2 linked regions of the Arabidopsis thaliana genome follow. The protein of the gene in region 1 purifies or fractionates together with the protein of each later gene. This does not show direct contact. Each region holds a gene or a part of one and is shown on either strand. Other genes may lie near its edges. The genes, in order: AT3G04600 and AT1G44835.

What was found.
Region 2: the proteins of AT3G04600 (region 1) and AT1G44835 fractionate together in Arabidopsis thaliana (co-fractionation; one large-scale study listed by BioGRID). This does not show direct contact.

What each region holds. Positions count from the first base shown.
Region 1 is NC_003074.8:1,241,030-1,246,757, reverse strand, and holds AT3G04600 (Nucleotidylyl transferase superfamily protein), read right to left. Parts: upstream 3,830-5,728; 5' UTR 3,709-3,829; intron 3,626-3,708; 5' UTR 3,607-3,625; coding exon 3,386-3,606; intron 3,311-3,385; coding exon 3,191-3,310; intron 3,102-3,190; coding exon 2,916-3,101; intron 2,682-2,915; coding exon 2,630-2,681; intron 2,528-2,629; coding exon 2,462-2,527; intron 2,381-2,461; coding exon 2,294-2,380; intron 2,105-2,293; coding exon 2,012-2,104; coding exon of another isoform or gene 2,008-2,011; intron 1,942-2,007; coding exon 1,861-1,941; intron 1,611-1,860; coding exon 1,539-1,610; intron 1,225-1,538; coding exon 1,156-1,224; intron 1,050-1,155; coding exon 939-1,049; intron 851-938; coding exon 800-850; 3' UTR 547-799; downstream 1-546. Other genes in the region: AT3G04590 (AT hook motif DNA-binding family protein), read left to right, coding at 5,155-5,647.
Region 2 is NC_003070.9:16,937,875-16,943,173, reverse strand, and holds AT1G44835 (YbaK/aminoacyl-tRNA synthetase-associated domain-containing protein), read right to left. Parts: upstream 3,374-5,299; 5' UTR 3,266-3,373; coding exon 3,227-3,265; intron 2,880-3,226; coding exon 2,820-2,879; intron 2,722-2,819; coding exon 2,668-2,721; intron 2,573-2,667; coding exon 2,512-2,572; intron 2,383-2,511; coding exon 2,306-2,382; intron 2,017-2,305; coding exon 1,967-2,016; intron 1,864-1,966; coding exon 1,781-1,863; intron 1,681-1,780; coding exon 1,610-1,680; intron 1,523-1,609; coding exon 1,369-1,522; intron 1,273-1,368; coding exon 1,142-1,272; intron 1,069-1,141; coding exon 994-1,068; intron 909-993; coding exon 837-908; 3' UTR 651-836; downstream 1-650.

The sequences.
Region 1 (5,728 bases):
AAGAAGAAATTGGGGGAAGGGGCAAAGACGGAGGAGGAAGGAGAGAAGGGTTGGATTGGGAATTTACAGAAGGGGCAGAAGAGGGAGACATTAGGTTTCCCTTACTCCGATGATGTCCATTTTACACGTTGCCTTCTTCCTCGACAAGGCTATTTATGTCTTTTAGTTCCTTTTTGCTCTCACTCTGCCCTTCGGATTTACTACTATTTACGGACTTGCCCTCTTTGATTTTTTTGAGTCCAGCTACTAAATTGGAAACCACCCCAAGTATTATAAAGCAAAGAAAGGCCCAACTCAACCTATAGATAGTTTTCTCACTCAAACTAATCATTGATTTTGGATTTCATAACTAAACTATACCATTATTTTACCATCAAAATTGACTAATTAAAATTACTTTTGTTAGATATTTGATGTAAATGAACAAAAAATCATTTTTTTTTACTTTTATTATTATTTCTCAGTTATATAAAATTGGTCTCTTTTTGATATTCTGATTTAAAATTTAATATTCTTTTATTTTGATCTTGTAATATATAATTCTATTGAGGTAGGTAATTTTTGTTATATCTTTTTTTTAAAAAAATTCATAAATTTGTAGTTTCACTTTATTCAATTAACAATGCAAATCATTTTAGAATGTGATTCATAAATAAATGTAAATATGAAAATTGTAACTAACAAGTATGGTTCAATTTCAAGGATCAAATCTATCAATAGACACCCAAAGATGTCTGAATCCAAATCAAACGGAGTGATGTGAAGTTGCTGAGGAGCCAAAAAGGGTTTCTGACTTTTTCTATTCGAACATGCTTGGGAGAGGTCTCACCGCCATGAACGCATCAACCATCTGGAACATAAATTTGTCGAATCACTTAGTACAAATGATATTTTGAATCTTGATGATTGACACCAACAAATTTAGTTGATCTTTTTACCTCATCAGTAACAGCAGCTCGAGCCCTGCGGTGTCTCTCCACAATTTCTGTCAACACTTCCGTAAGTCTCTTCTTTACTTCTCCTGTTAGCATTCTTCCTTCTCCATATTCCTGAAACATTATAATCATTGTGTTTTTACTTTTATGAAAAATCCACACAACACATTCTTCCTTCTCTGTATAACAAGCTAGCGACTAAGTGTGATGTTATTATTACCTTTTTAATGTGTTCTAGTTCAGAATCGTCTTCGAGGAAGAAACTCAGATACTTGACGGGTATGTCAACCTATAAAACGTAGAAGGGAGATTACCCCAAAAGAACAATTAAAGCACCAGAACCGATAAGATCAACTATCAAGAATCCGCAACTGATTTAAAATTCTTTCCTAGTCAATTAGTTTATAGCAAGTCCTTCTACATTTCCAGCTGAGTTAGGGGTTAGTTTTTGTTGGCTTGCTAGTACTCTGAGGAACACAATCTAAACAAAGTGAATATTCATTCTTAACTTTCAACCGGATATTACCGCATAAGGAACACAGCTGAGAGTTGCCACTACATAATACAGAATAAGGGACGAAGAGGATACAAGGAATTTGGTACCTCGAGATTTGCTCCAAGTTCTCGGTGCTTCTCAATGGAGTCTTGCCCACCACTAAACGCATATCTGTTTATCTGCATATGAAACCATACCAAGTTTAAATGCTGGACGAAAGTGTCTGAGTTCATTATTAGGACTGGTATTTAATGTTCTGTAACGTGTTTCAGATGCCGTTACACCAGCAAAAGAAAAAAACGAGTGGAAGGACTCGAGTAGCAACCAATCTAGACGATGAATGTGTGTGAAAGCCTACAAGGTTGATGTGGAAACCCAGAATGGCTTGTTATAATAGATGGAAAGAACAAAAAGAATTACAGAATTTACCTTGTTTTTAATGTCCTTTGCGGAATCAGTCACATAGATAGCAGAATTTGGATCACTAGCAGACATTTTTCCATTCTCTCCCTGCGTAAAGTGACCAAGGCAATTAGTTGTGTAAATCAGGAATGTGTAGTGTACTTAAGAAACTACTTGCCTGCAACGCAGGAAAAAATGTTGACTCAATCAGGGCGGGCTTGCTATAGCCTAACCGGGGTGCGACATCACGAGTCATTCTAAAATAAGGATCCTGAACAAAACCAAAAAGAAAGAAAGATTGGTTATAAATACAAATGTGATACATGGAAAACATAAAAGAAACTGATTATGGATGGAAGTATCACATGCTCGCAGTCACAGACATTTTTATACCAATGGGAAGTTATTAATCTTTTAAAAAGGCAAACAGGTTAATATAAAAAGTAAGAAAACAGCACACCTGGTCAATAGCACAAGGAATCAAGCAGCGGAGATTGTCCTTGCCAGGGAACAAATGTGGGAATGAGCTAGGAAAAGATGGAACTGCCTGCAAATATACGGAAAACAATTATACAGTCTATATGCAGTTAGAATACACATAGCCACACCAACAGAACAAACGACATACCTGCACAGGAGGGAAACTGAGTTTCGCGATAGGATCTTCACCGGAAAAGCCAAAGATTCCCATAGCCTAGCAAAGAAGGAGATATACAAATGAAAACCACAAACACAAAGTAGCTATACAACATATCAGCCGCATTGTGCAATTCAAGGAGATAGATAGTAAAGTCACCTTATTAAGTGTAACGCACTTGCCAACCTTCACCATATTTTTATAGAAAGCACTACACACAAAGTTTTTGCATATGATCAGCCAAATATACTGTGATACATCAATCAAAAAAAAAAAAAAAAACGAAGGACAATATATGATCTTACAAATCTTCGCCAAAAAAAAAATAAAAAATTGAGCTACATGCATGTAGACTATATGTACTACCAAGAGCTCTTCAAGCAATATTTTCTACAAAGCAAGAGCGGTGCTAGTTATTTCCATAGAAGATTCGAATGCGACTTACCCGCCAACATAGTCGAAGTCCGAGAAAATGAAGGTCTTTGTTACATCGAATCCACAAGCAATAATATCTTTCGCATTTTCTCTGGCAAGTCTTTGACTTTCCTCCACCGATAAGTTCTTCCATATACTTTTTTCATCATCCGTGAGCTGTATAACAAGGGGAACCTTGAAAGCTTCTTGCAAGTATCTGCAAACCATTTCAAGTATAAAGAGCAAGCACAATCTACCAAATCCGTAAACATGGTAAGACAATACTAGCTCCAGGATCTCACTTACTTGGTAAACATGAAAGGAATCAAATGCCCCAAATGCAATGCTTCTGATGAAGGTCCTCTTCCAGTGTAGAGATAGAACTTGTCTCCTCTCTCATAAGCGTCCAAAATCTCATTGAAATCCCTGTTAAAACCTCACAATTAAAACAAGCAAGACGAGAAATTTCTACACAATTAATTAAAACAGTGAATGTCTAACCGGTGGGCGAAGAAGACACTACGGCGGAGGAACACGTGTGGTTGACGAGAAGTCAGTCTCTGAACACGATCAATCAGTGACTCGTCAAGCCTTTGACATCCAAATTTGTCAATAAGCTTGTCGTAATCGATCTTCCCGCCGTCTTTGGCGGACACTTCCCATGGATTCACCACTTGCTCCGAAGATTCAGCCTCTCTCTCGTCCTTCTTATCCACCTCCATCGCGACGGAAAACAAAAACCTATACAAAAACAGAAGTCAGATTCAAAATCCTATTAGCAAACAAGCTGAATAGAGCTGAATGAAATTGTTATATCCAAGTACCTACGGTTGTTGCCGGTGATAAGACGGCCGTGGATATACGGCGGTGGTTTTGCGACTGGAGATAGTCTTTAGACTGACGAAGAACAAAACGAGGTTTAAGTCATATATTTATTACTATTTGGGAGTCAGAATATTTTATTTTTGTCAATTTTGCCGTCAAGTTTTAGATATACACATTACCCCTTTCTCTCTGGCCCAAAATTAAAACAATTATCGTCATTTATCCCTTTACTTTTAGAGAGAACAAATATCCCCCTCTCGTTAATTTTTTCAATTGTATCACTAATCAAAGTCTTTGACGCCATGATTGCCTTTTTCACTAGAAGTTCATTCATCATCTAAATGCACCGGTCCGGTTTATTGAATATCTTCTTCGTCTTTCTTTCTGATCCGTTAATAATCTTTCCATAGTCTATAAGATGTTATCATAATTTCATAAATTTTCATAATCCAATAGTTGATTAGTTTATGCACTAAAATAGGTGTTAAAAGATTTTAGATATGAAAATCATGTTTTGTGAATTTGAGAAAGAAGAAGAAGGGAGAAGTTTTTGGAGTGTTGTTTAGTGATGGAAGAAAATTCTGATGATGTTTATAACTAAACAAGATATGTCAAGAGATAAAAAAAAAAGAGTGGTGAGTGATGGGACGTTTGATTCTCTCATTGGTCTTTTCATCTCTAAAGGATGCTTCGGTTAGTCAATACAAGACTTGAAGATGCATTAAATCTGAAAAGGCCGGCCTTTGAGTTTTTATGGAGTTCATTTTGTGCTAGCTACATTTTTCAGTACTTGAAATCCCATCCGTTTATGCAATCTCCTAGCCAAAACAGATCATTGAGTTCCAAACAGTTACAAAGTCTTTTTTTCCCCTTTGTTTGATGCTTTGTTGCTTGTTTAGGAAGAAAGTGAATATGTGGCCTAACCGGGGTATTGGTTAGTGATTAAAGGCCTTTGTTGAATACCAATGTTGACGAATGCAAAGTTGAAAAAGGAGTTCAATCTTTTTGTTACACCCCCATTGACTTTATCATTTTCTTTTAATCATTCAAATCATGGTTTCTTTGAAATTGGAGGATATGTTAAATCAACCATGTACTAAATGACTAGAGAAAAGTGAAAAACTGAGAAGGTGAGTGAGTGATCTTTCGTTTCCCTCTGAAAAAATTAAATTTCTGTTTCCTCGAGAAATAAAAACAGATAAAAAAGGGTAAAAAGAAGAGATGCTTTAACACACATAAGTCAAAAACATCTTAAGTCAAATCTAGAAGATCTAACGGTTGAGATTCTATCTCATCATCTTCCTTCTTATCGATTAATATATAAGTATAAAATAATAAAACCCTAAAAGAAAACAAAAAAAAATGCAAAAAGAAAAAATGAAAAAAAATCCCTAACTCTCTCTCTCTAGAAATTCTTATTTTTGTGCGTATCTCTCTAAAAAGGAATGGATCCTAACGAAAGCCACCATCACCACCAACAACAACAGCTCCATCACCTCCACCAACAGCAACAGCAACAGCAGCAGCAGCAACGACTCACTTCTCCTTACTTCCACCACCAACTACAGCACCATCACCACCTTCCAACCACCGTAGCAACCACCGCTTCTACCGGAAACGCCGTTCCATCTTCCAACAATGGGCTTTTCCCTCCGCAGCCTCAGCCACAGCACCAGCCTAATGATGGGTCATCTTCTCTCGCGGTGTACCCTCATTCAGTTCCGTCCTCGGCTGTGACGGCGCCGATGGAGCCGGTAAAGAGGAAGAGGGGTCGACCAAGAAAGTATGTGACGCCGGAACAAGCCCTAGCGGCTAAGAAATTGGCGTCTTCTGCGAGTAGTTCGTCTGCTAAACAGAGGCGAGAGCTTGCTGCTGTTACCGGTGGTACGGTATCGACTAATTCCGGGTCATCCAAGAAATCTCAGCTTGGTTCTGTCGGTGGGTTTAATCTTTTCTTCTTTTGAATCTTATCGTTGGTCAATTTGATATCTAAAGTTTCCAACTTTAAGGTCAATGATT
Region 2 (5,299 bases), on another chromosome or scaffold:
ACCCAGAATCTTATGTGTTTCAATGGATCTCGTGTGTCAGTTTGAATTTAGTCGAAAAGCAAGGGAAGTTACAATGATTAATCACGGCCGTTTAATTAAATGAAATCCGACGATCGTCATAACGTGGAAACTGTTTTTTCTAAACCGACCATTTTAACCGTATATTTTAGACCAAAACCAAACGAAACCACAAACCGGTTTGTAGTAATATCTCTTACCAATTAGTGGGGGTAAATATGTCTTATTTCACTCCAAAAGCAAGGCAAAGTGCCTCTAGTTTTTAAAGTGTATAAAGTGAATTAAGTTTCTCCGAAAGTGCCTCTATGTGTAACATTCCTTCAAAAAATCTAAAACCAAGTTCAACTATATTTTCAAATTTTCTAAAACCTAATATAGGTGAGTATAAAAACGTTTGCAATATACATATAAAAGTCATATTTCCTATTATTTTAGACTATGTATGATTAATTTGCATTTGTTGGAGATAGAGGGTAAAATTGCAAAAATGAATGAGTTAGAGTTTTTTACACAAAACCTTTTATTTTAGTATATGAAATATCCGAATATTTCTTTTATTCCAGAAAATCGTAAGTTTTAGATGAATGTTTTTCTTACGTTTTGTTCGAATTTCAAATTCAGTTTTCGGATATAGAAAAGGTTTATCTTTGATTGAACAAACAAAGCAACAATAAGTGAATAAATGGTTCGAGCTTTCATGTAAATGTAATCATTTTCAGTCTTATCTAAAATTTGCTGTCCAACGAAGGAAAATATATTGCTGAACCGGTAATGTTTCTCTCCCAAATATCTCCGGTTCAACATGTAAACCAAACCTCTTACAATCGCTTCGGCTGGTGGCGTGTACCAGCATAAAAACCTTCTGCGTACGCTGAGTTCTTGTACATAATCTGCAATCAATTTACATAGAACCAAGATTAGTACAAACGGCTTAGTCTTACCCGATGCGAACCATGTATATCGAAATGTACTCACAGAGAGGTGGGTCAACTCTGAGGTAAGTCGTTTTCTTAGTGTTTCTGCCAAAGCCTCCACGCACTCTCCCTTAGCCTGTATATAAAACCGGTTCAGAGTTGATCTATAAATGTTACGAAATCGACTTTAGTTTCGGGATTGAGTTTACTACCTCGGACAATAATAGAGCCGAAGTTTTGTCCAAAATCTCCTGCACAAATTTCTCCGGGTTCTTGTAAGCTGATGGAGCTGAATTTTCAGCGACGCTCTTCACCTTACAAGCTGGCTTGCTCGTTTTGGCTGCACCGTTGAAGAAAACCGAGTTATATAAACCAATCCTTCACGGTTTAACAAGACTTGGAGCGCATGGTTAAGAAACTGATAAATCAGGCATACCTGAAGCCACAGGCTTGACCTCTGCTGACACACTTTTTGGAAGAGGAATTTGTGTAGAAGATGTTTGATTAGGAATCTCGGGAACAATAACTGAATTAGACGGAACACAAACAGCTAGATCTGGAGCCTGGTCTTTACCAACTACCGGGTTAGCCTGAAACAGCAAAAGGTTCAAAAGGTTAACCCTGAGGAAAGGAACTGTGGAACATGAGTTCTCAAGTTAAAGGTTTAGAGTATTTGCCTCAAGGTCAACGTATACGGGATCTCTCCCAATCGACTTCAGAAACTTGTCCAGACCCAATGTGTTCAGAGCTGGAAATGATAGGAACCAACCAAATTAGATATAAGCTAAAATCTGATGTTATGAACTATTTTGAACCATAAAAGAAAAGTCTGTAATGAAAGAACTTACAGACTGAGACATCGTTAGACAATGGGTGGAAGATGCAACGCGTTTGGTTCTTGAATTTTTGGTCTAACAAGAGAGACACGTCTCTTTAACATGGAAAGTTTTAATAAAGAATGTCAGTCAATGGAAATAATTAGGAACTTGGAAGGGAAAACACCATATGAACCAATACCGTAAGGCAAACAATACCTTGCTGATTCATTTACAACTGCAAACGGGGTAACACATCCGAGGGATACCTTTAACGAAAAAAGAGAGTAGCACGAGTGTCAAAAATTGTAAACATGAATGACAATAAGTTCAATATATTCGTGTGGATTTGTTGTAAACTGCGATAAGCAAAACAAACATATCACCATGCATAAATAGATCATTTAAAGCAATTTGGTTTGGAGAAACTTTTCTTATCAATTGTCAAAAAAACTATCGCTACCATGGTTCCCATGTTACAGCACAATCATTTAATAAAACTCTTTCCAGATATATATAACAAAACACAGTAGCAGAGGAAAAGACTATGAAAAATACCTGCAAAAGCTCACCAAGTGCTTCTTCTGGAGCCATTCTAATCCCTCCTTTTCCAAGACCAAGTCTCTGAGATAAAACTGTTTAAATTAGAAGTCACAGGGAACACACATTAACATCCAAAAAAAAAAACATTCAAACTTCACAAAGCCCAGAGACTTCTTCTATGCCAATATCCACAAACGAAAAAAGGAGAAAACATATGTTACCTTTCATGTCAACTTTCGTATCCACCATCGCTGAAACAATATAATACCGATGTTTCTTGTCCTGCAAAAACAAAATAGAGGCATATGCACCATTAACAATCAACTAATACTCTAACTTGATAATGCCTTTAATGGTGTACCGCTTTGAAAGACTACCTTCAAGAAGAGATTCTTACTCAGTGCACCCTTACTACTGCTAACATACTTGGCCTGAAGATTTAAATACACAAAACAAAGCCTTATAAATCCATCTTTAAACATCATACACTTAAGTTTTAAAAATCTAAAACATTTTAAGGTATATTCACCTGTTCTTCGACGGTTAGTACAGGCGGATGTTCATACTTGGAATAATCAATCTCAAGTTCCTGAAAGATAGATACAAATCCTTAATCATCAATTCACATTGCCACATTTTTTTAACATTGACACTAACAAAACGTGTAACACCAAAATTCTTGACCTAAGGGTTAGAATCTAAAAGTAGACATTGAAAAACTTCTGAGTTCAAGACGACTATACACATAACTTGGAATCCATAGATACACATCCAAATCCATTAATACACATAACTTCTTCAAATAGAATCAAGCATAAAACGAAGTAACATTTTCCGTTCTCTGCTAATGATTTATCTAATCTTATCTGACAAATTCCAACAAAAGCAATGCGAAATGAAAATGATGTAATTGAGTTTAAAGGTGAAAATGGAAACCTGAAGTCGATCAAGCAACTGATCTTTGGTGAAACCCATTGAATCGAAAAAATCAAAAATCAGAGAATTTGGACTGAGAAAGGAGCAAGGAACTGCAGATTTTGTTGAGAAGACGAAAGTTTAGGTTTTGCAGATTTTGCAGTACTGGATTGAAAAACATTAAACCTTCTTAGTAAACTAGAGGATTACACATTGGGCTTTTCAATCCACGACCATACTTAACTTGCAAATGCCTAAAAGGCCCAACATATAACCACAGGTCATAAGAAAATACAAATTTTTAATTTAAAATTAAACTGTTTTAAGTTGTCATAAATGGTGCACCACAAATAAAAAAAAGTCATCATAAATTTGGGCTACGAAAAATATCTTTACAAGAAGGATTGATTGTAGATATTTGAAACTGATTGTGTAGAGTTTAGTCTCGGTGGCGTATTCGCCTGATGATTGACCAGCTTTCTCCAACCTATTAGACGAGTTTGAATGTTCCGAGCTTTAATTTCTTATTTTAAAAATTTTTTTTTTTATAAATATTAGGAGGTTCTGGACCGAATCCCGTAATCTCTCAGACCCGAAACCACAGCATGTAATATTAGTTTCGTCCCAAACGTCACTCGAATCGGCGACCTCTAAGGTTCGTCTAGGGTCTTTACCAATTGAGCTAACGACGCTTGGTTCGATTTCTTATTTTTACCGTTTATGTAATTCTAAAGCATATTGTTTAACCTGTTTTTCTCGTTTATTGTTGTCTGATGTTATTTTTGTAAACTCTTCTCCTCTAAATTGGGCAGCCGATCATAGAGTTATATTTTAATATATGTGTGGTTGATAAAAAATATATATATATTAATATTTTCTAATAACATATAAATATAAAAGTAGTTAGAAATGAATATAAAATAGTTAAAAAAATATTGATTGATTTTTGTGTAAATTATAAAAATCATTAGTTATGTTTAATTAATTATATTTTTGTTGTTGTGTGTTTAATTTACGTGTTTCAACATTTGGGGGACTGACTTTGTGGATTTGGATATGGTTCATTCAAATAGATTTTGCTAGGATTTTTGTTTAATTAGTTGTTTTAATTTCTTGAATAATTAATCTACGGCTTTAAAGAGTATGGTTACTGCTTAACACACTATTCTTAACTTTTTTCTCTGATGTGCTGAAAGAACACTTTTCAGCCCCAATACAACAAAACAATCACTGGTATGAGAAAATAAAATAAGAAATCCATATTTTTTCATCAAATAAGTAATCAATTTTGACTATGTATTAAGACCATCTCCAATGTATAGCTCTATATCTTGTTCTAAAATAGAGTAACTCAATTTTAGAGATGAGTTTTTCTCCAATGTATATCTCTATTTTCTACTCTAAAAAAGAATATTCTTAGAAATATTCTATTTCTATTTTATATACTAATACTTTTTAATTATATAATTTAAAATTTGACCCCATATATTATAGATTTGCAAAATTCGTATAAAATATGAAATTATTTAAATTAAACACTTATTATTTATTAAAAATCATTACATCATATAAAAATAATAAAACATTACAAATTTTATTTTAATTAACACCATTAGAATATTTATTATAAATAACACGGTTAACACCATTAGAATATTTGTTTTAGTTTTTTATGTTGTTTATTTTAAATTTAGTACTTGTTTGCTTCTTGTTAAGTTTATAAAACTATTAAAATTAGTATTTGTTTGTTTGTTAAGTTTATAAAACTATGTGTTGTAATTGTTGTTTGTAAAATGATTATATGCATTAAATAAAAAAAGTTTAAATTTGAGGGACTAAAGTATAAATAAAAAAATTGAACTCAAAAATAGAGTTGAGGATAGAGTTGTTCTATATATAGAGTCAATCTGTAGAAATCTCTATTTTTGAGTCAATTATAGAGTAGGGTTGGAGAAGAATTTTGCATTTTGACTCTAAAATAGAGTAGGGTTGGAGATGCTATAAGCCATTTTAGAGGTAAAGTGTCCGCAAAACGAAACCCTAATTATGAGAAACAAACAGGAAGAGAGGAAAATTAAGATTGCTTTCTCCTGC